Coturnix japonica: one gene and its partner. The protein of the gene in region 1 binds, or shares a complex with, the protein of each later gene. Links are inferred from orthologs where the notes say so. Each region holds a gene or a part of one and is shown on either strand. Other genes may lie near its edges.

Region 1 (15,236 bases):
GAATATTTGAGTCAATCACTGTGAAGAACAGTACAGTCCAAAGAGTAGTAGTTTATTTAAATGCTCTTGGCTAATGCACTTCTTGGTATACCATATGACTAATAGAACTCAGGCTTTCTGTTTCTCATGGTTTTAAGAATTATGATACTATGAATTTGAAGAGATCCAAAATTCCTGGTGTTCCAGTATTAACTTAGAAGGCTGGTAACTATAGTATCAGAAAGGTTCAAAGTAGAGGGGTATCAAAAGTTGGCATGTTACTTGAAATCTATGCTCTTCTAGTGAATGACAAAGCCAAACTTACACTTCACTAAATATTTGGTTTTTGTTTCTTGTTTCCTCTGAATGTTGACATGTGCTATCAAATAACACATTTAAATTGCAGGAGAGCTATCCACATTAGATATTTCCACCTATTAGTTACCACAGACTTGCTAATGACTAGTAAAGATACTACTTTTTTCTATAATGTATGCCCTAAGAAGAGTTCTCAGTCATGTTCAACTGACTCAGATGAAGTAATCTAGCAAAATAACACCCCATTGATCCCTCAAGACTGAGCCTGAAGCTCTGATTCAACAAATCACAGTTGCTTATGCATACTCTCCGCTGGAGACCAGCAAAGCACATGTTTAATTACTTGGTTAAATTAGGGGTTTGGCTGTGGCATCTTACGTTCGTTATTGAGAAGGAAAAAAAACACACAGAAAAACAAAACAGACAAAACAGAGGAAATATTTTGATGCTAACATAAAGAGGTATGAATATAAACACAAACAAGGTTTACATTTCTTGATTAAGAAGAAAGCATCCTGCTTTCAGATTAGAACACAACTTGAAAGACTGCTGCAGTCTTCTTGAAACAGCTTCCTGCATTCTGGCCAAGGACAGACAAGCTCTCCTTTTTTTTCCCCTTTCTTAAAAGTTGACTCTGCCATAGCCTTTGATGGGCGATTTCTGAAATGGCTCATTTCTCCATGCTGAGAATGCTTAAGGTTAAACACGCTGAAGAAACCTGTTCAGAGGAGAAAGGAGACTTTTTGCTCTCTGAAAATCAAGTATTTATTTGTTGTTCTCCGTCAAGTTGGGCCCGGTGTATTTGTATCCTGAGAACCTTGGTCTCTTTGCCCTCTTGCACCGGCAATATTGGCTCATCTACATTTATCTGAGTTAAAATACAAGCTCTTCAGGGCAAGTGCCTGGCCTTTTATGTGTTTTGAAAGAGCTGTATGTAATTAAAGTACTTTGTATGAAGAAATTACTTCAAAACAGTTTACATAGGGCAGCTATTTCAAGATCAAGCAAAAATATCCAGCCTTGTTCCCTGAGGAAACAAGGCTTATGTGACTGCACTGGCTGGCTGCCCCTACTCCTTTCCATTCAACACCTTTTGAACTTGTTGGACAGTTTAAACTGCATTTGAAAGGGGGAGACGTCTCAAAGATAATTAAGTTCCCATGGACTTTATGAAAATCAACCACTGGGAAGTGAGAAATCCAGATCCACAGTTCAAATAACTAATTTTTTCTTCCAAGCGTAATCTTGCAAACCCAAAGCTTGACTGCAAGTGTAATAATGGCCGTCAGGTTGATAATATAATCCCAGGTTATTTAGAGGACTGACAATTATTTTTCAGCTGAATAGTAATATGCAGATTGAAACCATAATCAGGTTAAATTTCCCCTGTTTTGGTCTTGTAGCAGTTTTTAACATGACTAATACAGTGCATCCTCCTCAGGCTTGCAATTACTATGGATTTGCAGAGACATGATGACTCACTGCTTTAATTGGTTGTGCAAATTTCTCATTTTTACTCTTTTTAGATAACAATGTTCAGTCCTTATACCTTCCTTCTAGTTAATTAGTACTGGCAATGCATTTGTGGAATAATAATAATAATAACAGATAGTAATTGGGATACGCTACTCAAGATTATTTTATGCGATAGGGAAATTCACGGCTGGTTTTGTTATCACAAAAGCACCTAAACTATCTGAGCTGATGGTGAGTCCTGATCGTGATCACTAATTTGCCTGTTTGAGAGCTGCTGGTGAGGTCACTACACGCACAGAGACAGGACTTCAGTGGTGGCTCAGTTGCTTACTGGTTGTATAAGCAAAATGCTGAAGAAAGGCAGGCAAGGATGGGGGGATTTTTGTTTGGTTGGGGTGTGATGTGCCAACAGTACAAATGAATTTCCTCTGAAGTTTTGGGGTGCTTGGGCAAACTTATTGGGCTGCATAATGTTAGACCAGCAACAGACAGGCTCAGTGGGGCCGTCCAGGACAGTGTTTTATAACTCCTCATATTTGGAGGAGTTTTAGAACAGAAGCCAGCAGCTGTTCTGCTGATTATGCAAAAATAAATCACCTACTGCGCAAAAAAACGCCCCATCTCTTACATTACCCCGGAGGGTGACTCGTCGTGGGCCGGGCCGCAGGGGTTGACCTGGTGTCTCTCCGCCTCCGCGCCGGTCCCGAGCAGAGCTTTACGCGGTGGTCCTTCCTGACGAAGCTGTTCCACTTCATTTAAGTCATTAAGCTTTAATTAGAAGAGGACTAGTTTAGCATTCATTAAACATTAAATACTAATTGAGCGCCCGGGGAGAGCGCCGGCACCATTAAGCAGCGGAGTCATTCTCACGCCGGCCCGGCCGGGGACGGGGCAGGCAGGAGGGGGAGCCGCCCGGGCGTGGGGCGAACCACCACCCCGCGCCCCGCAGCGCTGCCCCAGGCGGTCCCGGGCTGAGCCCACGACAGCGGGTGTCGGGACGGCAGCGCCGCCTCGCCTCCCTTCTCCGCAGGTGGGACTGCGCGCAGCCCGGCCCGCCTCCCCTGGCACTCGTCCTTCAGCATCGGCAGCGTGTCGGTTTTGCCCGCGGCTGCGTTTTGCCCTCAATAACGTCGCGGCCGCCACCGCACCGCCCGAGCTCCTGCGGGACGAGCACCCGCTCGTCCTCCGCCGTCTCTAACAGCTCCCGTCCGGCCGCTCCGTCCCCTCCTCGCCGTCCGGCGGAGGCGGCCCGGCCAGGTAGAGCCGCTCGGCCAGGTAGAGCCGCTGCCCGCGGCACAGGCGGTGGCTCGGGGCGGGCCGGGGCGCGCTGCGGGGGCGGGCCGAGGCGGAGCGCCCAGACGGCCGGCGCCGAGGTAGCGGCGTGCCGGGCAGCTCCGAGCCGAGCCGGGCCGGGCGGTGAGTGCGGGGGGCCTCGCTCGGCGGGGCGGGGAGGCGCCGCGCTGCGCTGCGGGGCGGCCGGGGCACAGGGTTGGGTGAGGTCCGACTTCTTTCCGCCGTTCGCCCCGTCCCGGGCAGTGGAAGAGCGGTGCCGGACTCGGGGGCTCGGGTGCCCGTGGGCGTCCCCGGGGGCGGGGAGCGGCGGCCGCGCTGCCTCGGCCGTGCCGGGAGCGGGAGCGATGTCCGCATCCAACCCGCATCCAACCCGCAGCCGTCCCGTGCCCGGGTGTGAGCAGGGCGCGGCGCTGGGAGGGAAGCGGCGTCTGCGGGCAAAAGGAAGCGCTGAAAACCGTGGAGAGCATCGGGAAGGGCGAAGGGACGGAGTAGGAAATGTTGGTGCTGTTTAGAAATCCACAGCTCCAAACACGTATTCATCGTGCCGGCATGCAAAAAGTGTTAATATGTTAATATGCAAATAGGCTTCTGTGTTCGGTAATGCTATTGCGTGTTTCCTGTTTACCATGTTAATTAGAAGTTGTAAGGGAAAACTTCACGGGGAGTGATGCAGGGCAGCGTTTGACCCGGTAATGCTCGTTGAATGTTGCAGTGGCTCCTGTTGTTTGGAGCAGATAGTTACAGGGCTTAGTTAGGAAAAATGTAAAAAATGAAGTGTAACTTACGCTCCTTTCTACCAGAAGCAGCCTCTGAACTGTCAACCAATATGGACAGTTCAACTCCACGCTGTGTTTTTGGCAAACACCGTGTTGTGATTCTGAGTAAGCAGCCCGTTTCCCCCAGCCCTACTGACTCCAGAATGCTTTATTACTTCAGGTGGTGTTAACTAATTGTGTAATACTTTGAGATCTAGGACATACAAAGCTGGTGTTGTAGGGCAAGTTAAGTGTGCTTGTAAACAAACACAGGCAAACACATAAGGAGAGTCTTGGGATTCTAATTGTGTTTTGAGTTTTGTTTGTTTGTTTTATTAGAACTAGTATCATTTGGTATGTGTTTTTCACTTTGGTTTTGTTTTCTCATTCATCGTGTCCTTTCAAATCCAAGATGGAATTAATATAGACGTGCTTATTAAAGAAACACTTTTGACCTTAACCAAATGTTTTGTTTGTTTTCATAGTCCTCCTCACAATTTCCAGATTGTTCCAGAGAAGAGCATAAAAAGAAACCGGTTTTGGAAAGACTTGGAAATTTGTTTGGTACGGGGAGAAGGAAGAATGTCAAGAGTTCATTAGAACACACATCTCATTGGAAAGGAGAGAGATCGGTTTCGCCTCACACAGCTCAGCCCATTTACTGTAAACATACACAGCAAGGTCCTGAATCTCCTCCAGTACAGAAGCAAGTGAGAAATACGAGTGTCGTTCCTGAGACACAGGAGTACAGTTTCAGTGGGGAAGTAGGACCTCTGTACCACGACACCATTTCAGAATGGAGTGGTCGAGGAGTCTCCTCTGACAGCGAGTGGTCACCAGACTGGAGCAGCAGCAGTGAAACAATTAAAAACTCTTTCTTTGAGAGTAGCTTGAATGTGGACACCCGGGAACCAGAGAAGGGGTCTGTCACAGATATAAATAATTCCACCACTCCAGATTTTATAAAAAGCTTGAGGAGTTTGTCTAGCGAAGACTTAGAAAAGAGTATCTTAAGCCACAAGCATCTGGTGAACACGTGGGTGTCTGAGGAGCCCGGGCATGCAAAGCCAAAGGATTTGCCATACAAGCTGGAAACTCTAGCAAGTGAACACCCACAGCCTGCTAGAGTGCTAACAGTTGATATTTATCTTAGAAAAACAGACGAACTCCTTAATGAACCCGTGACTGTTATATCGGAAGAAAATTGTGGTGACTCAGACACAATGGATAAGAAATCTTCTAGTAAAAGGTCTGGGAAAAGGAGGAAGTCTCAGTCATCCAGTGACGTTCCAAATGGAGAGAGAAACCAGACTGAGAATACCGCAAGAGAAGATTCTGTTTTTGAGGACGATGCGTCTTCTGAGGGGGTTCCAGACAAGGTAATAACCTCTGAAAGAAAACTGAAGTCTCCTCAGCAGACTCCTGAACGGAATTCCTTTTCTTCAGGAAATAATCCGGAACTAAAACCTGGATCTGCTCACAAAGGCACGTCCAAGACTGAAGCTGACAAAGGTAAACAGCAAGCCTCAACCACAACCCCTGCAAGGAGAAGATCTTATAAAAAGAATCAGTTGGATGCTGTTCCTACTTCCCCCACTGGTTTGAAGAGTCAGATGAAAGATTACTCCTCCAAAAGGCAACCTTTAGCGTCAACAGAGAGTAACACAATGACAAAAAGAACTTTGCAGGAAAAAGGGGAAGATAGCTTGGAGTCTTCCAAAGTCTCATTGGCCGATAAAGCAGAAGACAACACCGTGGTGTTTGCTGAAGGCAGAAATGAAACCAAGACAGACAAGCATGGTAATGATTCTGATGGAAGAGCTTTCTTGCGTACTGATAAGATTAAAAATGGAGACCTATGTATGCCAGCTGAGAGACAGACGAGTTCTGATTTAGACAGCTTGAAGCTGAAGAGTTTGGATGCTTCCAGAATAGTCACAACAAAAATTAGCCTGTAAGTAAGATAACTACAGTTTACCTTACTCTCGTAGCTGTAATTTTGCCAGCATCTGTATTTAGGATTATATAGGAGTGCTGGCTATATATCTGCTATCTAGATTATTTTCAATTAAGAGCTGTTTCTTTTAATCATATTTACACCTCACTAACACTGTGATATGCATGTGTTAAGAGAATAATTTGTGTCTAGGCTGTTTCTTTCTATGCCTGTCATGTTGTATAGAATAATTTAACGTGTAAAAGCTGCTCTGCTGTCATCATTGCCCCTTTTGTTGCTCAGATTAGCTTGGCTCTCATTGACCTTCAAGTGGTTTTGCAGTTTGTAGCTACTGAAAGATCCATTTGAAGATTTTGTACTCTAAAATCCCTGCCCAAGGAAGGTGTTCAGGTTATTCTTTGAAGAAGGAGCAGTTCTGCTCAGCAGTTATTTTACAAAGAAATGAAGGATGCGGTTGTAGAACTTGGTACTTCAAATGATGCGATAAATCTGACTCCAGAAATCTGAATGCATTTAGCTGCCTTTATAAGTACTTGCAGGACAAAGGATGTAAATTCTTACACATGGGATGTAGATCAGGCGTTTGCAGAATTATACATGTGTTAGTTTGCATGATTACTTCTTAAGCAGTTGTTCTCTGTCAGGCAGATGTGATCTATGCTTTCCTTAGGAAGATGTGGGTATATTTGGTACTTGCAGTGTAATCATTAGTAGGATTTCAGCTACTGATTTCCTGGACTCCCCCATGGTTTTGTTCCGTGAATCATTTTATTGTACTCGTCATTTCTATTGTTTGGTTTTCATGGGTATGTAATAGGCAGCATTGCTTTCCTCTTTGTGGTGCATTCACTTGTAGGCCGTGTCAGAGTCCACCTGAGGTACACTGAGTTCAGAATTGCCATTCACTTATGCTAGAGGTTCATGAAAGCATTGAAGCTTAACAACTATATATACTTCCAGTTACGCTTCCCACATCTGCAAAGTTTAGAGATAACAGGAACATTTTCTTTGCAGTTTGTGAAATGCTACCTCTGATTTGTACCTTTTTAACTGGATTGAAAACGCCTCATTCTGATAGTTAAGTTGTGGTGTTTTGCTACATGATGCTGCTTTGTCATCTGGTGACAGAGCTCACAAATGTTCAGCACTGAAGTTTTGTATCTTTACAACTTTGAATGCAAGTAGTCTGCATATTTTTCTCCATGTGTCACTACCATTAGCAATGATGAAGTTACAAGCACTTGCATGGCTGGATTTTTGTTTGTCCTGGTATCTGCTTGGCTCCTTGCATAGAGAATTATCTTCTGCTTTGCTCTTACAGTTATAGACAAGTACCCCTTCTGACAGCCTTCATTTTAATAGATAAAAGCCTGTTTTTTCTCGCCTGGCAGTGTGGACTGTGTGCTGCTTTGCGTTTTGACCTTATCTGCTGCTCCAAGAACTTTAGCCCAGGGTGGGGACTGCTGCGTTCAGCAGGTTCATGATGCTTCTGAAAGATACTGTTGCACAGAATCACACCATTTCTTCAGCCTGATAAATGGATACAGTGGGATTATCTGCTGTAATTTGTGGTCATCCTTGAGGGCATGTGAGCTGTAAACCTGGATGTGAGTTAAGTTGTAAAACAGGAAAGGAAAAATATAATGGTGGTATTAGAAGAAGGCGTGTTTCTGTTCTCTTCTTACTGCTTGGGACTAGGGATCGGATGCTTTCTCCATTTTTTTAAAGGGAAAAATTACCATTAAATACTCTACCTGAAACTCCTTCAGTTTGAAAAGTACTGGTTCACTCATGTGAATAAAGATGGACAAGGAGAGATTCATTTCCCTCCTATAAAATCAATTTAGCATAATCAAACCGATTTTCAATTAAAGAATGCATGACGTCTGTTACTAATGATGTGGTGGTACCAATTCTGAGGATTGAGGTTCTTTAGAAATACTCCTTAAGAAGCTGTTTTTGCCAGTTCTCAGCAAGTAGCGATAGCAATTCCTGTCTGCTCCTTGCATGTCTGTGTACAGTGGAACTTGAGAGTCATGGGATACTTTTGCCTTTAGCTTTTCAAAGAGGAACTTACTAGGCCTGAGTCTAAACTTAGGTTGATGGTACCTCACTCAAAACTCATTCAGCACATAAAACCTCAGGCAGCTGTTAGGATTTTGCTAAGCACGTCAGCCTTAGCTTTAGTTGTCATTTTTGACTTTCAGACTTGGTTTTGTAGCTGCCTTTGTGTGCCTATGCCCACTTGTTGAATTCTTCTGCTCTGTTAACATGCCATTTTACTTTGCTTGCCTCAGTCTGATGTTTTGGCATCAGTTACGTGTTTGATGAGGACATTTGAACAGTATGCTTCAAGTATATGAGTCACCTTCAATTTATGACTATATTAGAGGAGATTTAACTGCTTGCTCACACAGGTTAGCTGCAAGGTATAGCCTAAGAGAAGGACATTGGTATTTCACTTGTGCTTGCCTGTTCCTGGCCAGCAATGGGTGGAAATGATCAACTGTATCAGGCTGTTTATAAGGAAGTGTCTGTACCATTATACGAATCCATCTTCCAGTGGTTTTTTTTTTCCCCCATGCTGCAGGGGGAAAGGGTCCTCGGACAGCTTCTCAGTTTCTTAGACAAGCTTAGAAATTCAGTACTTGCAAAGAGACACGTCCTTCAGCTATATTTAAAATCAGTCTTTCTCAGTGTGGAACATCAGCATTCCTCAGTGGCAAAATGAAAGGCTTGGCTGCACGTGACGGGTTGTGGTGGACGGAGCTCCAAGGCTGAGCTTTTCGTCACTCTTTAGCATCTGTTGTTTGTCTGCTGCTCTGCAAAAATGCTGCAGAGTAAAATACAGGTTGCTAAAGCTGTTGTTTGTGTGTAAATTTGCAAAGCTTGAAACTATACCTTTGAGGTGTTAGTTGCTCATTGTCATAAGTTTTAGGTGTGGCTGATAACTATCAGTGTTAACCATTGCGCTTGCTTGTGTCAAGACTTACAAGGAAAGAAGGATCTTATTAGGGAGATATGTATTGTTTGTTGTGTTGAAACACATGTAGTAGTGCAAGTGACAGACTGACGGGAGGATGGTATGGAAATGAGCCTGTTAAGATTACCAGGTGCTAGTGATACCACTTGAAAATACAAGTAGAAGGAAAGTGTATCTTCTTCCTCTAATGCTTCCTTCTAGCAGGTGGCAGGTAAGCCCATGCTGGGCAATACTGGCTTGAAACAGCCAGTGTGTCAAAGGAGAAGGAAGGGGTTTTTTGCTCTTGAAGAAGCTGGGCCTTTGTGGTGACTGGTACCTCCTTCTCTCCTTTCAGCTTGCTTTCCCCAACACAAGTGATATTTCACAAGATGGAATGAGTCTTTCAGTGTACTTTTAAGACAAGAATGTCACTGGGATATGCCAAGTACATGTAGAAGCTGAAGCACTTTGCTTTGTTCAGCAGAGAGAAGGATATGAGTAGATCTCACCATTATCTCCATAGATGCATTAGAGAAGGCAGAGCAGTTTCTCCTCTGATCTTTCAATGAAAGGACAGCAGCCTGATTGCAAGTTGCAACAATTAAGTTCAAATGGAACATGAAATAAAAATAATTCATAGGGCAAGTGGCTGACTTTCTTCAGTGCTTCCCTAGCTAGTAAGAGTGCAGATTTTCCATCCTTGGAGATGCTCAGCCCTTGGCCAGACAGAACCTTCAGTGACTTTGATCTAACATTGAAGCTGCATCTGCTGAGTGCTGAGATGGACTAGGTGACCATCAGAGATCCCTTTCAACTTGTTTACATTTCCAGGAAAGAAAGAATGTGAAGTAACTTAACTTTCCAAAGTTACTGCAAATGAAAACTAGGGTGTAGGTATCTTGAAATGTATTATCTAATAGTTCCTCACCTTGTTTGCCTCAAGAATATTTTTCTTTTCCTGCTTCCAGACTTCAGTTTTCCAATTACTTTTTATTTAGCTTCTGTTTGAGGTACAGTCCGTCAGGTGTTTGTAAGTTCACTATTTGCTATTTTTAGTTGTCTTGTGTTCTTCATAAGAACCTTCCAGCTGAGAGCAATTTGAGCAAGCAGTGAGCACTGTCAGGAAGTCTTCTCCTAAAATACTCAGTTATTTCAGCAGTTACTTTCTGTTTAGTTTCTTAGGCGGCTGATCTGGGGTTCCTTGTGTTACCACAGTAAGTTTGTTCCTTGTGCTTTTCTCAAGAAGAAAAGCTTGTACAATGAAGATGTTCTGGCAGCATTTACTTTCTTACATGGACTGAGTTTCTTGAGGAAGAGGGGGAAGGAATGGATTCAGTTTTTACATTTGTGTTAATTCGGTTGTACCTCACCCTTCTTCACTTGACTGAAGAGCTGTGTCACAGCTCAGTGAGTAGCTGTGTAGGTGAAGAGCAAAACCAATGAGTACAAGAATTATTGATAGAGCATGTGAAGCCCCTGCAAGCGAGTTTCTTTAATCTCCCGCCCTTTTAAGATTTTGTTTCTGTGCAGTCTGTCACTGCTGGATTCCTCTGGATTCCTCTGTGGAGAGCGGGTCTGACTCTGACGTACTGGTGGGCTCCTTACTTCTGGCTGATACATTTTGAAGACATGCCTTGTTTCTTCTCAGTTGTTCATATACCTGCAGTAGCAGGTGACGTGGACAAATGCTTCTCTCTGGATGTAGATACTCAGATGAAGGAGATTTTAAACTATCAGCTGTGTGTCACCAGCTTTCTTCAAGTGATGTGTGCTGTAGCCTCATAGTACGTGCTTTTCTATCCACTCTCTTAAAGAAAATTTTAAAAGTATTTCCCAGTTCAGTCCTTGTAAAAACAGCAGTTAGTGTATGCTATTTAAAATGTTAGCTGACTTTACCTGAGGGAAATGGGAGAGTCCTCCCATGCAGTGTTGGCTTAATCTAACAGTGATGAGCAGTTGCAGTGGGTCAGGGACTGTGATATTTTCTACCAGCAATATCCAGAAGAGGTTTCTCACTTGATTTGTGATTGCTTCTGCAGTACAGAGACTGAAAAGAATCTGGGCAGATGTCTTCAAAACTTGTTGGAGAGGTATATTCTAATGTTAACCAACTCATTATCACCTTAATGAATTGGGATTTGTTTCCTAAACTCTGCAGGGAATTGCATGCGTATAATTTATTCTGCCTGTTCTCTATTAAATTTTAATTTCTGTCAGTCATAAGTTTGCCTCATTTGCAGATGCTGTAGGCTGCTGTGTTTCTGCATCTTTGTTTTGCTGAGCATTAAAGAATTGCTTACATTTGAAATGTATTTTCCTTATTCAGTGTTTGATTATTTTGTCATCTTTAATTCCTTTTGAGATACTGAAATTTAAACTGATCACGACTATGGGAAAATGATTTTAATGCTGCATTTTATTGCTTTACAAACTGTTACAAGTCTCTTCAAGATTACTGAAAGATGTAACTGTGTATCACTTTGCCTCCTATAGTCCAGCCAAACCGAAGAATGTAGAGCTGAATTTTAAAGCGCCTGCAAATCAAGACAGCTTAGAAAGTGAGCAGGATACTCTTGAAAAACCAGTTAATAAAACTAACAACAGCATTGCCAACAAAATTTCCTTGTTTGAAAATAAATGTGCCAATCAGAGCCAGAGGCCTACTGATATCTCTGCTTCAAAAAATAGTACTGTACCAAGCACGTTTGTTGGTAGAGCAAAGCTGATATTTGGAAAACAACCTAAGGAAAGTGAGCAGCCTGATAAAACATTAAATAAACAAAACAGTCGCCAGAAGTTATTTGAGAATGGCACAGCAGAGAAAGATAGCACTGCAGAATTAAAAGGCAAAAATGAAGAAGGCTCTGCATCTTCCGAGGACGTCGGGAAAGGAACAGAGCTTAAAGTAAAAGCTGCAATATCCCTTTTTAACCAAAGCAGCAAAATTGATGCCAGTGGTGCCTCTCTGAAGCAACCTGATCCAGAATTAAGTGCAGTTAAAAAGGAAAGTTCTCCTTTTAAACCGTCTTTGCACTCGCCTGTTAAAAGTGAAAGTGTTCATGATATTTCCTACCATCAAAATAACACAAGCTCAGAACTCCATAGAAATGAAGAGAAGGTACCGCCAGACACAGAGGTCTTATCAGCCTGTAATGGTGATAAATATCCTCTACAGTCTCATCAGCTTTGTAGACCAGAATCTCAGAAGGTGGAAAATGGTGATAAAAATGCAAAGCTGGGAGATTTGACCTCTGCATCACAGCAGTATGATGATGGCAGTCTTGATGGTATATTGGTGTCGGAGCACAGCAGTAATACTCCAGAGAGCCCAGGCAAAACTTGTAATGGCTCTGCTGAAGACGATGCTGTTTTTGATTCTCCAACCGACATGAAGAAGTTTGCTGAAACAATAAAAAACTTGGACAGCTCAGTTTGTTTACCACAGAAGAAGAAAAGGTCAAAGCTTCCCAAGTCTCCAGCACCCCACTTTGCAATGCCTCCGATTCACGAAGACAACTTAGAGAAAGTATTTGATCCTAGTGTATTTACCTTCGGTTTGGGACTGAGAAGGGAAAAAGCACAGGATCTGTTACCAACCCAACAAATGAAAATACAAAGTCTGGAAACTATAGCCAGAGTCAGGCCCAAACGTGCATCAACAGAGCAAAGTATAATATTCAAAGCCCTTCAGTCATGTAATAGAGAGGAACCTTCCTTTACTCAGGAAATAAATGGAAAAGAGAACGCGGATGGTACAGATGGTGAAGTTAAGAGATCCCGTCTGGAAAAAAGCTCACTCTTCTCGAGTTTGCTGTCATCTACTTCTAAAGAAAAGTTTCTTAATCCTTCTGTGACCTCAGTAAATAACACAGCTTTTATGGCAGACTCCTCAGGGATACCTTCTTTACAACAGGATGCTTCTGGGCCATTCAGCCTGCCTCAAAAACCTGAGGTAATAAAAGATGAACAACATTTTACGTGGCTACATTTCATGAGTTGACTGTTGAATGACTGTTAATTTTTTGTTTTTGTTATCCAGTCTCTTTCAGATATGAAGTTTCCAAGTTATATGGAGAAGTACATACAAGCAGATAGTGCAAAAAAAGAGCTAACTTTACAAATGCCTAACTATGGGAACCCAGAAAAAAATTTTTCCAGCTGGTTAGGGGCAAACAGATATGAATCAAATGTCCCCACTGGTTTATTAGATGTAGATGTAAGTATTATGCCATTGAAAATCTACCTTGAAAGTTACCGCACATAGCTTTTGTTTTGTTTCTTTTCACAGTGGGTTACACATAGATTACAACTGCACAGAATGAGCATGGGTGAAGTAGCAGGTTCATCTGATGTTTGCTACACATGAAAATATGATGTGTGTATGGCATCTCTTAAAATGATTATGTTTCTCTGTGATGCCTTTATTCCAAGACTCTTCACGAGTAGGGATTGAAAGGATACATTTGAATATGTCTTCATGCTTCTTCTTCTTTTTTTTTATTTAAACAAATCTCATGCATCATCTACTTTTAAAGTATTCCTAACAAATGAACAGTAGCGTTTATTGAAAGAGCTGCTACAGAGGATGGATGCCCCTCCATTTGATTATGAGCATCTGTTCACCAAGACTGAAGGTAGACCTGTGTTTTCCTTCAGAGCCAATTTCACCCCAATGTAAAAACTGATTTCTGTTCTCAGAATTTTAAACCAACAGTATTTGCTGTTTCTGTAGATGTTGGTCCTTATTGTTCCAGGAAGAGAAATAGCTTCCAAAGTTTGATAGCCATATTAATGTGATCTGTGGAATTGAAGCAGCATGTAAGAAACTTGAGCAGCTCTTTGCTAAAGCAGCAGATTATCTGCTGTTACAGTTCTACTAAAATGGCTGGGGAAGTAGAAATAAGTGTACACCTTGTGGAAGGAAATCATCCATTCTACCTTACAGTTTTGAAGATGTTGATTTTCTTTCATGAGAAGTTTTTAATTAACGTAGGGTTGAAAATGAGGTGGTTTACTTGCAGCGGTGCTGGCTCATACTGCCAGTTCTAAAAGAGTTCTGACTTTAAGTGGTCCTATTTGGATTTCAAAACAAAATGACTAATGTAGGTGCTGACTTTTTGCCACTTAAATTGTTGTGCCAGAGTGGATTTCACTATTTCATTAGAGTGTGGAAGCACGATGTGGCAAGGAGTTATATACACACGTAAGATTGCTCTTGGGAGAAGTTCATTAGGCTCTGTTGGGTTCCAAGTCTTCTGCAGCACCATTGCTGACTCTGAAGTGTCTTGCTCAAGATAGACAAGTATCAAAAAAGTTTGTCTGACATGTACATAGTGTGCATCTTCATCTGATGAAGAAGATGGTGATGAAGAGACTAATGGGCAGTGTGAAGGGAAAGAGTAGGGGCAGCCTAAAACAACTCTGGCACTCAGTGACTCGCACAGAGCGAGTTCTAACTGGAATTGAAGCACAGGCTGAAAGACCAGTCATGCTTCAACTTGTCTTGATGATGCCTACAGAAATGCAGTGGTGGTTAGGAACTCTGTCTTGAGACCACTACCAGTCCTGCATGGTGACTAATATGTTCTCATTAGTTCCCTGCACGTGTTTCTGCTTATCTTCATCTGTAAGCTGTTTGAGGGCAGGGTCTCATTTTTGGTTTGTATGAATAGTACCTAGCAGAGTGGGACCCTGTCCAAGAATTAATGCTCCTGTCCTTGCTAGAAAGCCACACGTAATTACAACCCTTTCTTTATTTGTTTTGAGATCACATGATACAGCCACAGATTTTCCCAGATAGCTTACCTATATCATACAGTTCGCTGTGGACTTAGAGGTAGTGTTATAGATTTTTGTATACCTGGGTGTATTTTATTCCTTCTCTGCATTTTTTAGTCTATTCCTTATTGCAGAGCCTCATACTTTTTGAAGAATACCTACCTTGTTAGAAGATGTTCAACAAAAGATTTGATTATAATATCTAGTTCGTAAACGTATATGCCACCATGCTTCCTCAGTCTTATCACATATTCCTTCAAAATTATTGAATTCTTTATGGTTACCAGGCACTAACATATTCATTAATATCGTTACAATTGTAGAACATGTACTTTCGTAATGCCAGTTTTCTTAGTCCCTCAGTATCTGAAACTCCTGGAATGAGTAGAAGGCTGATCAAAAGAAATTTTAGAACATTTAAAACCTGGGAATACTTGTCTTCAGTGAGATGATAATTAAAAGAAATAATAATTAGGAAGTGTGTATTCATGGCAAGGTATTATTCTTCTGGAAGAAGGAGGAACTATGGCAGGAGCGAGGTGTAGGTGGAGTTTTTTACTGTTCAGTGCAATTTTCATTTTGTTTCAGTAACTTATAGTTTAGCATCTTTATTGAATAGATGTTTGGTTTGTTTTGTATGACTTAATGTGACTTTTCTCTCCCCGCTGTTTATTAGACACTTTCAAGAAATGGGCAAAGTAAAATCAATCCCAGGCCT
Region 2 (15,236 bases), on another chromosome or scaffold:
CCTTGAGCAGTGCTCAGAGAGCTGCTTGGTTCTAAAAAATAAATAAAATAAAATGACTTAATAACAGTCCCTTCAGATGTCTGTTAACCTAAACAGCTAAAATTTGGAGGTTGAATAGGAAACTGATGGACAAGTCACCATTTAAGCCAATTCAAAGTAAATGGTGAGTTAGGTGGTTTGCCTTCTGGGAGTACTTCTTGACCTGCTTAGTTGTCAGTCTTTCGTCTCAGAGGTGAATGGTAATTATAGCTTTAGTGCTTCCTCTCCTTTCAGGTGATGGTAATTGTCTGTCTGTTCCGTCTAAGCTTGTGGTCTCTGGTTATGCTCTGGATTTTGTGCACTATAGTGTAGTATCCCTAAGTGAAATCATGGTGCTGTGCTTCAGGCTAAATCACTTTCCATTTTACAGTTCACTTGGAAAAGGTAACCTCTCTAACCACTCTGTGTCTTGTTTGGAAATTCAAGTCGTACAGGTTACTCCATAAACTCTTCCCAGGAGGAAATACTCATTAATTTAGTTTTTAATCTAAATAGAAAAAAAAGAAAAAACATATGTATCAAGATGCAGTTTGTGTGGCTTAAAGTACTTCAGAGTCACTTGCTGTGCTTTACAGAGCTTCTGTTTTATTTGTTAGAAAGTTGTTGACCTCTTATCACCTTCATTCTAATTCTTGACTTCTTCACTATCTTATCAACACTGAAGTCTTTAACCAATAGTGGCTGACGTACCCTGACTTTTTGTTGTTCTGTGTGTTCTTTGGAGCTATTTTTCTACAGATTTTCTTGTCTGAGGTTTGAGTTTCTTCAAAGTTCTTCAGAGCAATTTAGTGTACGTAGCTTAAAGAAAAATGCCATTTTAGACCAGTTCATCATAAAGGCTTATTATAGCAAAAGTGCTTTTGAAAGCAACTTCTTTGAGAAGGAAGAGACAGCTCCAGCTTGCTGTCTTAAGGATAAGCTTGTCAAGTGTTTAAAGCAGAGCTACTCATTGCAGTACCTGATCAGCTGATCTGCAGGCATTGATCAGGCAGTCAGACATTCAGTTCATTGGTTCACATGTGCGTTTGTTAGGTGTGTGCTTATGTTCAGTAGTATCACTTGAAATCTGTTGTTTGACGAGGGCTCATTTCACTTGTGTTTAAGAAAGTCTTTGCATTCTGTGCTATGCTACGGGAGAAGAAATGCCATCAGCTGGAATAAGCAGAAGTTGGCACTCTAGTTTTATTTTGCCTTTTGTCATGCTATTTATGACTCAGCAATTCATATCCAACAATAATTAAAAACAAGAAGTTGTCATGCAAAAACATAAAATGTATTAATGCTGCCAATTTAAGCAGGATTCCTGTCTTAAATTTACTGCTGTCGTTATTAGACCATTTGAATTGAATGTGGATTTTTGCTGCTGTCAAAATATGGTACTGTTTTCTTTACATCTCACCAGTTTCTTAAGTTTTCCTTAATTATTGAAAGTTAATGTCCAGATTCCCCAAAACTTTTGCTATATGTACTGAACTGTAATGTCGTGCATCAATTGTTTTAATTACTCAGGCAAACAGTAAGGCACAGGCAGAATAAAACAGAAATATATCAGAAATATAAATACATGGGGCTATGACTTCACTGGTCATAGATACTCCAGAAAAGAAGGGGAGGAAAAAAAGTTGGGCAGAAAGGGACTGGAGTCTTGGAAGGAAGGCGAGGAATAGAAATGTTACTATCCCCTTTAGTTAATACATTTTTGTTACCAGCCGCACCTGAATGATGATAAATTGTCAAAGCGACTGGTTACACAATTTGATTTAAAACTTAATGGCTTTTTTTTAATGTATCTTATATTCAACTTGGCGAGAGCTGACAGTGTTATTTCCTTGAATATTTTTTGACTATAATGTGTATCAGCTCCTGACTTGCATTTGGTGATTGTGATCTTAGAAGACCGGCGATCAATCGTATAATCATTGAGGTTAGCAAAGCTGTCATCTAATTTGAAAAAGTTGAAAAAGTGACTCATTGGTTTCATCTGTTGGTGAAACTGAAAATCCAGCAATGTATTTCTTCATACTCAAGGAGTATTTCTGTGGATGCAATGTAATGTTTTGTACACAAATAGAGCTCTTTGGGAAATTCCCCAAGGCATTTTGTTTCTAAGTATGTGGGTTTTCTTTCCATGCAGTACCTGTTTCTAGCAAAGGCAAGCGTGCATCACTTTGCAATTTGAACTCATTCTATACTGTTCTGTATTTTATGAAGTTAATATTCTGGATCACTGTATTCCTGAAATTTGTTTGAAAATTCAGGAAGTTTGCTCACAGTGACCACAGTGGCTGTGTGTCTCAGGGAAATAAAAGTGAGTAGTGTGAAGTCTGCTGCAATGTAACTTATAACCTGTTATTTTCACTTTTCAGATGTTCCTCCTGCTGATCAAGAAAAGCTTTTTATCCAGAAGTTACGACAATGTTGTGTACTATTTGACTTTGTTTCTGATCCACTAAGTGACCTAAAGTGGAAGGAAGTAAAGCGAGCAGCTTTAAGTGAAATGGTAGAATATATCACACATAATCGCAATGTGATTACAGAACCTATTTACCCTGAAGTAGTACATATGGTAAGTGATGGGAACCAGTCTGATTATTGCGTTGAATTCATTGTTCTTTCTTCAGCTCTGTCAATGTGTTTTAAAAAACCTTACTTTGAAATCCTCAAAGAAGATCAGCTGCCATCTGTACATCAGCAAAATGGTAATATAAATTGTGTTTTTTTAAATCTTGTTTTGCCATTATTGGATTCTCTTCTTTGTATGGTAGAAGTTTGGGTACTGTTGTAGTTTAACCTGGCAGCAGCTCAGCACTATGCAGCCGTATGTTCATTCCCTGCTCCCTGTGGTAAGAAGGAGAGGATTGGGGGGGAGGAGGGAGAAGAACTCAGGGGCTGAGATTAATAGGACAGAAAGGAAGGATAAAATAATGGTGATGATAATGAAGATAGTAGTAATGATATGTATGTGCATGTGCACAAATATAAGAGAGTGTGTATGTGTACAGTGCAATTGATCTCCACTGGCTGACTAATGTCCAGCCAGTACCCAAGCAGCTACTGCCCCCTAGCCGGTTTCCCCCAGTTTTTATAGTTCCACATGATACTGTATGATGAGGAGTATCTCTTTGGCCAGCTTAGGTCAATTGTTCTGGTTCTGTCCCTTCCCAGCTCTGTGCACCTCTAGAAACCTCACCTTTTTTTCCCATAGATGTATTTTGGATTAGATGTTTATAAAAACTGGGGAAGTTAAAAGTGACTGGTTTTTAAAAGAAACTGAAAATTTGAGAATATTTTTTGTAAGGTGAGAATTCAGATCACTTGTGGAAGCTTGACACCAGCACCATTGGTTAAAATTGAATTTTTATTTTTTTTTAAATTGATATTACATAGGAAATAAATTTGTGTTTTATAAACAGATCATTTCAGTAGTTAAAGCAGTTTTCACTGCTACTTTTCACATATTCTGAAAATGAGGTGACATACTCAGTTACAAGCATGGGGAATTTAAGTGTTATTTCTGGTTATGTGGGTAGGGTTTTTTTTTGTTTAATTTGATACTCAGCATGGAATGAGAGATTTTACTGGGAGTAAAAGTGTAATATTTGTGGCTCTGCTTAGCTATTTGGGTGGCTTTGTTAAAATACAGAGAATGCAGGCTGTCAGATTACAGAGTTTGTTATTCAGAGCCGTTCACGTCAGGCTTCGCTTCTTCTGAGCAGTCCAAGTGAAGAGAAGAATGTGTGCCATGTTCTCTCTGTAATGCCTACTCACTTGAAACTTTTCTGTAGCATTGCAGAAAATGGGCCACCAGAAAAACAGCGACTGTGAAGCTGTAAAAGTGCAGCACACTTGCCTTCTCTTTTTTTGTGATTTTTCTTCTGTTTAACAGAAGAAGCTGGAGTTCCAAGTTGTCTGAGGAAACGGGAGTTCCAAGTCTCATCATCCCTAGTTTTTCTTGGAAGACAGTTGGCTATTGCAAGTTTCTGCCTTTTTTAAAGGCAGGTTGGAGGTTGCTAGTTGATTGATATCCATGCTTTTAGAATATCTTTATAAATATCAGTTTTCTTTCTCTGAAAGAGCAATTAATATGCTAGCCATAGTCAAAATCAGACCTGCATCCCTGATGTGAAGGAATACTCTGAGGAAAACAGAGCATGAAGATGATGTTTCCTTCATGGGAATATGATGTAATTCTTGCAGATTTAGCTTGTGCAGTTTGATACTGCCTCCCACTGTCTGCTCTGCCATCTGTCAGATGTGAGAAGGCAGAACAGTGCTTACATATACCAGTTAGTAGATAATGTTACAGCATTATTCTAAACTGTGAATGGAGCTGATAAATGATTAGCAGTCATAATGGGAACAGGGAAGCATGCCTGCCTGCTGCTTTTCCCGGAGTCCCACCACAGATAGGTGGAGTAGATTCCTCTGGAAAACAACATATTTAAACACATCTAGCTTGATTTGCCAGAACTTCTGGATCGTCTTCAAATGATGGTTAAATAAACTTTGATATTATTTAAAAAGAAAAGAAAAGTTAAAGAAGACCACCTTATAACACACTGAGAAGAGGATAAAGATGTGCATTTGGCTCCCTTATCATCTGAAAATTTGACGATTACAGACGGATAATATGCTGTGAAGAGTGGAATTTAAGTGTAATACTTGGGTAGACTTGTAACTAGAATATAAATAAACACAAAGTGTTGCAACCATCAAATATCAGTAACAGTATATAAGTAATCTTTTCTGATATTTGTGGTACACATTTAGAATGGAGTGTATGTATGCCGTGTGCTCATGTTCTATGCAGCCAGCTGCAGCTGATGTGGTAAATCATCTTGTGGATATGTCATAGTCCTCCTTTCAGCATAGCTTACATTCTCATTGTGAACAAGTGTCTACCCAAGTTTATTTTAAAATATCTTAGTATTTCTATAATGAACAAAGTGATTTAATTTGTGAGTTTTAAAGCAGAGCGCTGTGCAGTGCTTTAAGTAGGAATAGCCTTAAAGAGTTTCTGAATGCAGCCTGATACACTCAGTAGTTGTGAAAAGGTAGAAACAACTTTTTATTTTGGCAATTCCTGCAGTGTGTTCAGGCTGCTCAGAATACTGAGGCATCTGTATCAAAGGATCAGCCTGAAGCACTAGAGGTGGTTTAGGACCATAGTTTGAGTTGATCTGTATATTCAGAAGTTAGTTGAGACTGGTGCTGGTTTGATACCAAGTAAGCAAGCAATAAAATAGAATAAGAAAGACTTTCTTGGATACACGTACTAATAGACCGATAAATAGATTGTGTTTTTCTGTTTACTCATCAATTTAGGTGTCTTACAACTGCCCTTCTTAGTCTGCATTACAAGTGGATCTGAGGAATGAGTCTCTTCCAGTACTGACAGCCGTAGCTGTCTTTATATTTACAGATGAAGACTCTTTCTGATTTTCTTACTGGCATGCACAGAAACCTGTTCCCTCCAACTTGCTCAGTAAAAGTTAGGATAAGTAACTGTCAGTCTTCTGATCCCTGCTGTGATTCACACGTTACAAGTGTGCATCTAGACGAGCACTTGGAAGCACAAAAATGGTGTATATCTGTGTGCACACACACCTTGAGAAATCCTTGTAGTCTGCTCCGCTTTCTTGAGGATACTGAGCTGCCCGGTTAGATGGGTGTGGGTTAAGGGAAGTGCCACTAGGAGAGGAAGGTCAGAATTTGGTTTTGAGGTATTTCCACATCCCATATGCCTGCGGTGTGAAATGAAACTGGTAATAATTTACATAACAATGTCATGGAATCTTTGCTTTGTGTCTCTGGCTCTGACTTCTGCTTTTGAAGGCTGCAAATTCTTTTCAGGTGTATATATAAATATACTTGTCTAAACCTTTTATAAATATTTGCTTGAGTGTTTAAAATGAGTGTGTTTATATGTGTTTGTGCGCAATGAGACAAAGATGCCTTGCCAATAAGTTTGTACTTTAAAGAGTACTACGTGGAAAAGTGTTCTCTGAGTTTAAAGTCTTCAAAGAAAATTAAATGTACTTCATTTTTCTCTAAGTTACTGAGTTATATAGTTTGCATATGCCTGAAGATATTAACTAAGTAGGCTGTGTTAAGACTTCTCAGTCAAAATCATCTTTGAATTCTTTTTTTAATCATTCACTTCAAAGTTCTTAAAAGACCGTGTGATTTCAGTTTGCAGTTAATATGTTTCGAACGTTACCACCATCTTCCAATCCAACTGGAGCAGAATTTGATCCAGAGGAAGATGAACCAACTTTAGAAGCTGCATGGCCTCACCTGCAGGTACTCAATGAAGTGTGGGATGTCATAATCTAACAGAATTTTCACATTAGATCCATTCTTTATTGATTCAAAATCATACAGGTTCTGTCTGTCTCCTTATATCAACTAATCTCTCTACAATATTTTAAATAAATCTTGAATTTACACTGATAATCTTTTCACTGGATGTCAGTGTTTTAGAGGCTGAAGGTTTGCTGTTTCTTGTTGTATGGATGTAACTGCTGTGATTTTAGATGAGCTTCAGTTTGACACTAAATACTTTGATCTGACTCAGTTCTTGCTTTGAGAGGTACTGTGACAAACATAGAACACAGTTTTTAGAACACTTCTGGGTAAGCTGAATATTAGATTATGTCACGTGTGCAGTGGAGCTCAGTAGAATTTCAATGTAATTTAAAGAACATCAGCTTCTTATACTAAGTAAAAACATGCTGCATTGGGAGCAAAGCTTTTATTGTATGTTATGTGAATAAATGAGTTCTATACAAATACAAACGACAATTCTGGGCAACTAATTGGGAATTTTGGTAATATGCTGGTCATAAAATGTTTTGTTTTGTTTATAAGACTAATGATATTTTTTCATTGGACTTTTTTTTCAGCTTGTTTATGAATTTTTCTTAAGGTTTTTAGAATCTCCAGATTTCCAACCTAATATAGCTAAGAAATATATTGATCAGAAGTTTGTATTACAGGTAAGGTCAAAATAACTTTTAAATTCAAGTTCTATATACGTTCTCTTGCAGTGCATTAGATTCAGTAAAGTAAATCTTTTCTTTTCCCTCCTTGCAGCTTTTAGAGCTCTTTGACAGTGAAGATCCCCGGGAAAGAGATTTTCTTAAAACAACTCTTCACAGAATATATGGGAAATTCTTAGGCCTGAGAGCTTACATCCGAAAACAAATTAATAATATATTTTATAGGTATGTCACTGTCTTTTTCTTGTGGGGCCTTTGGTCAGATAAACAGCTAAAGACTGCTAACAGTATCTTGAATCATATTTAATTCTTAGTAACTTCGTACCTAATACTACTGCATCTAATGGAACTTGATGCTAACCTGAGAGATTTGAATTGAAGTAGCCTTGCACGCAGCATAAATTTGGCAGCCAATATTTGAATTATGTATTTGATGTGTGGTTTAATATTTTTATCTGAGACTTTTTTCTTATTGTGTAGTAGTAGTCATAGCTGTAATAGCACTTGAATAAAATGTAGTTCTTTGTAATGTAGAAATAGCAACCCAAATGGAATGACAGAGAATTTGACTAAAGGAGCATATTTACTGCCTTTTCTTTCCTCAGACCTAAGATGTTTCATTCTTGGTTGGTGAAAGCAGTTAATTAAAAGCAGCTTGTTAGTGTGTTGGTCTATGAGAAGTTTGCAAATGGAAAATAATTTTCTACTAAGTGAAATTAATAATACTTTCTAGTAAGTGGGGAAAAAAAACATTATTTTCAAAATACCTGAAGTTGTGCGTAGAACTTTCTTGACAAGTTTATGCTTAAGCAATTGAGAAGCCCATAAGAAAGATAATTGTATAGTAAATTACAGTGTTCTTTCAGAAGAAAATTTATGAAGATGTGATTACTTCTGCTTATTATTGAGCCTTTTGTGTGCACAGGAGCCTAATACCAAACAGCTTTTTAGTTCCATAAGTAGTAACTGTTCGAACACTTTGTGCTTGCATGTGCTGTAGAAGGTTGAGTCATGGCATTTGATTGTGCCAGATGTTCTGTTATTTTAATATTAAAAGCATTGTTTGCTGTGTTTTGCATTATTGAAATGACACAGAGTATGTATGATTGTTTAAAAAAAGCTGAAATGCGTGCACTGTTGTTAAATGTGAGTGAAAAAAGCAAGCGTGAAGGTTGAAGGCAACTTAATGTGCTTACAGAGCGTGCATATCTTGTAGAGAACAGAGCCATCAAGAACACAAAGTGCCACTAGGTTTAGAATAGTTACCAAGACTGCTTAACTGTTTTCATGGACTCCACAAGGTTTATTCTCTGCTGAGTGACTAAAACCTGAGAGGTCAAGGCTACCTGCCATGTTAGATGATCATCTGTGGTAGGTGTATTTCTCTGTTCACCAGAAACTGAGTGAAACTTTTCATTTTTTTAGGTTTATTTATGAAACAGAACATCACAATGGCATAGCAGAATTACTGGAAATACTGGGAAGGTAAGTTGTAGATTTTGTCCAATTAAACTGTCTTGATCTTTAAAGGAGACATTAGATATTCAGCTGGGGATTGCCAGTGATTACAGGACAAGATGAAAATAGCTTCCTAGCATCTGGAGAGATTTAACTTCAAGTTTTGTATAAGAGTGCAGAAACTGAGCAAAAACTTCAACTGCACATCAACATTTTTGGGATGTGATAATTTTTTTTTATCATTTAATTTTCATTTTCTACATTAGTATCCTTGTATTAAAGATAAGCTGCAGTGCAGCAGTAATTACATGTAACAGTTGTAATTTGTTTAAAAATTCATCTGACTTCACTAAATATATAGCAGGTAAGCACAGAAAGGGTGGGAGAACCTTCTTTTAATCTCCTTTAAGTGAACTTCAGTGATGTGTCTGACAGCCATGGAATCTAAGTTGTACAACACGAAGCTGCTAGACTACTCAAAGCTGGTTGTTTTATCAGTTGACTTCTCATCCAGAGATGCAAGCTTTTTAATATAAGTATGTGGAAATACGTTTTAAAAGCATTGCCAGTTTTATTTTACAGGGGTTTTTATATAAATGTTATAAGTTTTATGGCACTTAATAGAAATTTGCCTGTTAAAATTGTAGTATATTTTTTCTTAGATTTTTCTAATCAAATTTCTGGTAGCCAAATTAAACTTCTGTGCTGTAGCTGTTCTGTATTGATTTTTGTGATCCATCAAGGAGTTTCATACAAGAAGTTGACAAAGAGCTCCTTATGAGTAACAGGAAAGGCAGCTCTAACAACTCCTAATTTCTCAACAATATGTGTCTGTTATAATCCTGTAACATCAGCATCAGATTTCTGCAGTGATTGCCAAGGGGGGTTGTCTAAAAGTGTTTTAGCAATCCATGTATGTTTTCATTTATCTGCTTAACTTAGGACCTCTGAAAGACTTGGGCTTGTTTTTTTTTTCTCCCGACAGCATAATTAATGGATTTGCCTTACCATTAAAAGAGGAGCACAAAATATTCTTATTGAAGGTTTTGTTACCACTTCACAAGGTGAAATCACTCAGTGTTTACCATCCACAGGTAAGATTTGCTTGGCAGTTCTTTTAGTAACAAGAAGTACAGAGGTCTGCTATGATGGCCGCCTCCAAAATTAGAAGTACTTCTTCACCAATTTCAGTGTGTTCCATCTCACAAGAAGTGTTAATCAAATCTTTTCTTTGATTTTAGCTGGCGTACTGTGTAGTTCAGTTTTTAGAGAAAGACAGCACGCTTACAGAACCAGTAAGTTCATTTTGCATTTATTATTTATTTGGGGGATACTAACATCCTTTTTTATCAGTGGACTGTTTAAGGAGGCTTGGAGAATGAAGTATTGATATGTAATTATTTTTATTAGGAAGAGTCAAATGTTTAACCATTTTGACATATCAAATGGATGTATTTTTCTGCAACGTTGAAAATGATTTAATAAACCTTTCAAGGTATATCTTTTAGGAGCAAAATTGAGTTTACTCTGCTTATTTTGTTCTGGCTGACTCTCCTGAAGACAGCTGATCCACAAAAGCAGTTCAGTCAGATATTTACGTGCCTGAACTGTGCTCTGTTGTGAGGCTGATATTGCGCTGGCACACCGATTTTTGGCACGCATAGCTACATACTGATGCAAGACTTTTGAGTCAGATCCTGTTCTCCTTTTGAATCAGATACTAACTTTGGAACATAAACAAAACCAGACTTTTGTCTGGCTGCACATAGCTGCATACCTAGATGAATACTTTTGATTGTCCAAAATTGAATATAGTGTTTTGCATCACTAATCCAACACATTTAATTGCTAAGCAGTGATTAGTGAATGATTGCTTCTAACAAAAGTGCACCTTACTGAGTTAAACTTGTTTCCATTGTAAGCATGATTCATCAAGCAGTGTGTGACTGAGCAAGAACTTTCTTCTGCTTGAAGCTTTTAATGTTTTAGTTATGAAATTCTGGTCACTCTGTTATTCACGTTGTGTGCGGTCTTGAGTTGTTAGCTTTCTTTCAGGCATCAGTTATGGTGCTACATGTTTGCTAGGACAAATTTGAACAATCATCTGAGTTTACTTCCTTTTTTTTAATCCCAAATCAGTACATAATGCTTACATCGTTCTTTTAATCTCTTAATGTGTGATGCATGTGCTGGGTTCCTCTTCAGAAATTCTGGTTGAGAAACACGGTTTTTTTATATGCAAATTGTTAAGAGATTTATTTTTTAAAAATCTTATTAAATAAAATCTGCATATATTTCCCAAGGCTTTGTTAAGGACAGAGTGTCTACATTGGCATTTATATGATACGTATAAGGAACATACATTGATTTCTCACTGAGTTATCACTTCATTGAAGTAGAATGTTTCTTGTAGTTTATAAGAGTCCAGATTTATTATTTAAGAATTCCATCTATTTCAGAAAATAAGCATGTTCCTTTTTTCTAAACGAGAAAGTTTGGTGTTTGCAACAATCCAGTAGCCATCCTCTCAGTGTTTAAACTGCATCAAAACCATATAAAAGCTTCTTCTTAAAAGAATGTAGTTTTGTTTTTAAGTTGAGCCATCTAATAGACTGTTTCCTTTTCTATATCATATTTTATGGATCTCTTAATTGTTTTTCTTTGTTCCTCTTCCCCAACTTGTTTGAGGGTTCATGATTTGCTAGGCAAAAAACTACTTAAATGAGCTGGGTAAGTAATTTAATCATGGAGCAAGTTAAGGCCTAATTACAGTAATACAGTCAAATAAAATTTAACAGCAGTATACCTGGAATAGTCAGTCACCTGCCAGTTTGAGTATTTATGGTAAGTCTTTGCTTAAAATATGATTGAACTTCATTACTTGAGACTTGAAGAACACCTTCAAGAAATAAGAGGTTGAGCTATTGTCACTTAAGTGGCAGATATTTTTCCCCATCACGTAGCTGCAAATCTGCCCTTTGAGTTGGTTATCATATTGAGACGTATGTCAGGTTCTTTCTTCAGTTTTCTAATTATTTTTAAACAGATATTTAATGTAAAACTTTCTTCTGAGAAAATGTTCTGTAGCCATAGTAGCAGTTATTTATGTGTCACTGAACCATATCTCATCATTGCTGTTATGTGGGACAAACATTTGAGGGCTTTTTTTCTGTTCAGCCTTGTTCAGACTTGTTAATGAGAGATAAGTTAGTACAAGACTTTTTGATTATGAGAATCTTGTTCTTTTTGCTTCTACAGGTTGTAATGGCACTGCTGAAATACTGGCCAAAGACTCACAGTCCAAAAGAAGTCATGTTTTTAAATGAGCTGGAAGAGATCCTGGATGTGATTGAGCCATCTGAATTTGTGAAAGTTATGGAGCCTCTTTTCAGACAGTTGGCCAAGTGTGTGTCCAGTCCACACTTTCAGGTCTGTACATACAAAATGCACAATGCAATGAGGATTTTTGAAAAGCAATTTGCTATTATTCACCATGCTTAACTTCAGTTGTTAAAGAAAGCCTTTGCATCTATGGCAAAACTGGGGGGTCCGAATGTTAGCCTTACTGTCTCTTTTCAAGAGTGCAGTACTAGAGTTTATCTTAGATGATTCACTTAAAAATATTACCCTTTAGCGCTTGTATTTCACTTCTTGAAATTGAGTTCTACTGATAGACTTACAGGGGAGAGCATTTCTTGGACTGCTTGAATGGTTTGAATCATTTCCTTGTTGAGGAAAAAGCAGTTTTCCTCTCTCCATTAGTTCCATGAGTAGCTTCTAGTTCATGCTTTAAAAATCCAAATCTTGTTTGCAGTTTTTCTTACGTGTCACTTGTTTTTGCCAAATACTTGCTTTTTAAGAGATTGTTTGATGAAGTGTTCCTTTTTCCTGTGTCATCTTAGGTTGCAGAGCGCGCATTGTACTACTGGAATAATGAGTATATTATGAGTTTAATTAGTGATAATGCAGCAAAGATTTTACCCATCATGTTTCCATCCTTATACCGGAATTCAAAGACACATTGGAACAAGTAAGAAACATTTGTACAAACAAAATTTTGCTTTTTTTTTTTCTAGTTTAGCCTGAAAATAGCTCAGAATCCTCTCTTTGAATAGTATTAAATGTGTTTAGCTCTTTATTCAATGTCATCAGGGTTGCAGAGTAAAGAGAAGATTACTGTTATCACAATGTTAATTATGAACATTATAACCAATATAAGCAAAAATTGTAAGCAAGAAATGAAGAGAATGGAGTCTTTCTTCCATTAAACAAATAACTATATTTTAGTATGTGTAATCCATGGCATTTTTATTAACGTGAGAATAATTTGTCATTAATCTCTAATCTGGGTACTTCTGAAGAGAAACTTGATTTTTCAATCTCTAGCCTCTTTGCTCATTTGCATTTAATCTGAATTCTAGTGGAATATGTTTTAGATTGGGTCATTTTGTTTCCTTTCCTTTTCTTGGTTTTTTTTTTTTCCCCCCCTTTGTTTACTGTTTTCTTTCTCCATAGACTGTTTTCACTTTTTTCCCCCTGCAATAACATAGTACTTACACATGAGGACAGTCCTGGTCAGCTTCTTTCTGCAGCTGTTCCATTGTAAAGGGCCTCTTTGTTTCTGCTATGGCACAACTGCTGGGATGATGAAAGTATCCACAGTCTAGTGCTGGCCATGAACTGCGGTCTGGCAATGAGTTAGCTGAGAGCACATACTGAATCTACCTCTAAATACAGGAAAAGAAAGGCAGATAAAGTGATGTTAGTGATTGATAAGTATCGCTCGATGTAAGCAGTAACAAATAATGTATTAAGAAGTGAAATTTTGGTTCAGTGATACAACTGCATAGAGTAATCCATATGATTTTTCTGGCTTTCAAGGCCATGTGTTCATTTTGTTCTGAGCAGAAGTGGTGCTACCCAATACAACTGCGCTTTCACTGGCAACTCACTTGTGTTACAAAGTAGTCACTTAACTGATTGCGTGCTGTTTGCTTTTAATGATCAACACTAGATTACTCACTAGAAATTGTAAAATGCTCTGTAAAAATAAGTGCTTCATAAGGAAAATTTTTGTCGTTGTTTTCCACATCACTTTTCTAACACTTGTCTAAAGAGGCCTGGCATAATTGTATTAAACTAAGTGCTGTTGCTGTGTGGCAGTTCCCAATCTGAATACCATCTTCTCTAGGCTCCTTATAATCACTCTGTTGCCAGTAGGTTTCTTATTTCAAAAACTGTAACACTGTCTTGCATTTTCTTTAACAACTTGAGTCTGGTTAAGGTCAGCAAGTGCACTTCAAACCTAGGCCTCTTGGTATCCACAGTACTAAAAAATGAAGTTCATGAAAAGTATACATGACAAGTAGTACTATAGAGTAAGTAAAATGTTAACTTTAATATTGTGTTAGAACTTTGGAGGATAAACTGAACCTTCCATTAACTAGCATTGTTTCCATTTGTTCTGAAATGGTGTAATTTTCCAGTTATGTAGGCTATTGGCTTCTGTTGACCAGAAAAAATAGATTTCAAAGTTTAAAGTACTCTGAGTTTCAACCAGAAGTTTTACTTATAGGACAATACATGGCTTGATATACAATGCTCTGAAACTCTTCATGGAGATGAACCAAAAACTGTTCGATGACTGCACACAGCAATTTAAAGCAGAAAAACTGAAGTAAGTTTTCGTGTCAGTGTGTCTGTCTGTTCTTGAATAATTTGTTCAGAGTGCTTTAGCTCTGAAAAGCTGCCGTGTCTCTACTGGGAAGTTGTACCCACTTAATTACGGTACAACAGTCTCAAAATAAACTTGGTAAAACTTTTCATTACATGTGAACTGTAAAATCTTCAGAATGGGGTGCTTCCTATAGTCTTTGGCCTAATACTGCTGCATATCACCTTCTTCCTTAAAGCTAGTTTTTGGAAAAGGGCACTGCTAATCATGGAGCCTGCTGTAAATGATCTGCTGAAGAGTTCAGTTGACATCCTGTGTTTATTTTTTGCATGCTGTATTTACACAATGTTATTTTCTCATGTTATCACTCGATCCTTCCCAAAACATTTTTCCAGTATTTTTGACATTGCGTTGTACATGAACATGTACAGGTTTTTCTAGAAATTATCCAACCTAAAGTTGTTACTCTGTTACAATGCGCTATTTGCCAGAAGAATTGTGATGACTGTAATGTCATCCTGCACAGGGCAGGCAATTAGAAGCTAGAATTTTTCTGGTAAATGCCCAAAAATGAAGCTATATTTTGTACTCGTAAATTTACATCTCATAAACCTGCTGTTCCTCTGGATCTCAAAATGATTTAACAGATTGGAAATAGAAATCAAATGTGTGAATCATTTGGGGCTTACTTTACAAACTGGGAGCATGATTAAGAAGCAGGTATTAAAAATATCTGGATTTGAATTTGATTTTTAATTCCTATGTGATTAAGAATTCCCCCAGATAATGTTTCTAATTCTGAACCCATATTAAAACGATATTCTGAAAGGAATATAGATTTCTAACATAAATAATCTTAAATTTTGGGGCTGCTTATTATAATTCAAGTAGAAGTGATGAACTTGTAGTATTACTTTTTTTTTTTTTTAATATGGACAAAAATGTGAATATTTTTTAAAAGAACAAAGGCTGTGTAAATCTGTTTTCCCTTATAGCAAATGAGTAGTAGTCCTTTTATTAAATCAGAAATCAATCATTTCTCCTTTTCTTCTGTTTGTTTTGAG

Evidence for each region.
Region 2: the proteins of CRYBG1 (region 1) and PPP2R5C are in contact, whole or in part, in a crystal structure (PDB 6VRO), measured with the Homo sapiens proteins. The link is inferred for Coturnix japonica from reciprocal best matches to the Homo sapiens genes CRYBG1 and PPP2R5C. Residues at the interface, in NP_001358171.1 of Homo sapiens: Pro1136, Phe1138, Ala1139, Met1140, Pro1141, Pro1142, Ile1143, His1144, Glu1145, Asp1146, His1147, Glu1149; in NP_002710.2 of Homo sapiens: Lys183, Thr184, His187, Tyr190, Gly191, Leu194, Arg197, Ala198, Arg201, Glu226, Ile227, Ser230, Ile231, Asn233, Gly234, Phe235, Ala236, Lys240, Glu242, His243, Pro265, Gln266, Tyr269.

What each region holds. Positions count from the first base shown.
Region 1 is NC_029518.1:61,970,524-61,985,759, reverse strand, and holds part of CRYBG1 (beta/gamma crystallin domain-containing protein 1), read left to right. Parts: intron 1-4,306; coding exon 4,307-5,775; intron 5,776-10,779; coding exon 10,780-10,830; intron 10,831-11,233; coding exon 11,234-12,692; intron 12,693-12,779; coding exon 12,780-12,956; intron 12,957-15,194; coding exon 15,195-15,236. UniProt on the Homo sapiens protein: May function as suppressor of malignant melanoma. It may exert its effects through interactions with the cytoskeleton.
Region 2 is NC_029520.1:44,953,757-44,968,992, forward strand, and holds part of PPP2R5C (serine/threonine-protein phosphatase 2A 56 kDa regulatory subunit gamma isoform), read left to right. Parts: intron 1-2,405; coding exon 2,406-2,605; intron 2,606-6,231; coding exon 6,232-6,342; intron 6,343-6,944; coding exon 6,945-7,037; intron 7,038-7,134; coding exon 7,135-7,265; intron 7,266-8,465; coding exon 8,466-8,525; intron 8,526-9,483; coding exon 9,484-9,592; intron 9,593-9,739; coding exon 9,740-9,793; intron 9,794-11,756; coding exon 11,757-11,927; intron 11,928-12,400; coding exon 12,401-12,528; intron 12,529-14,073; coding exon 14,074-14,175; intron 14,176-15,236.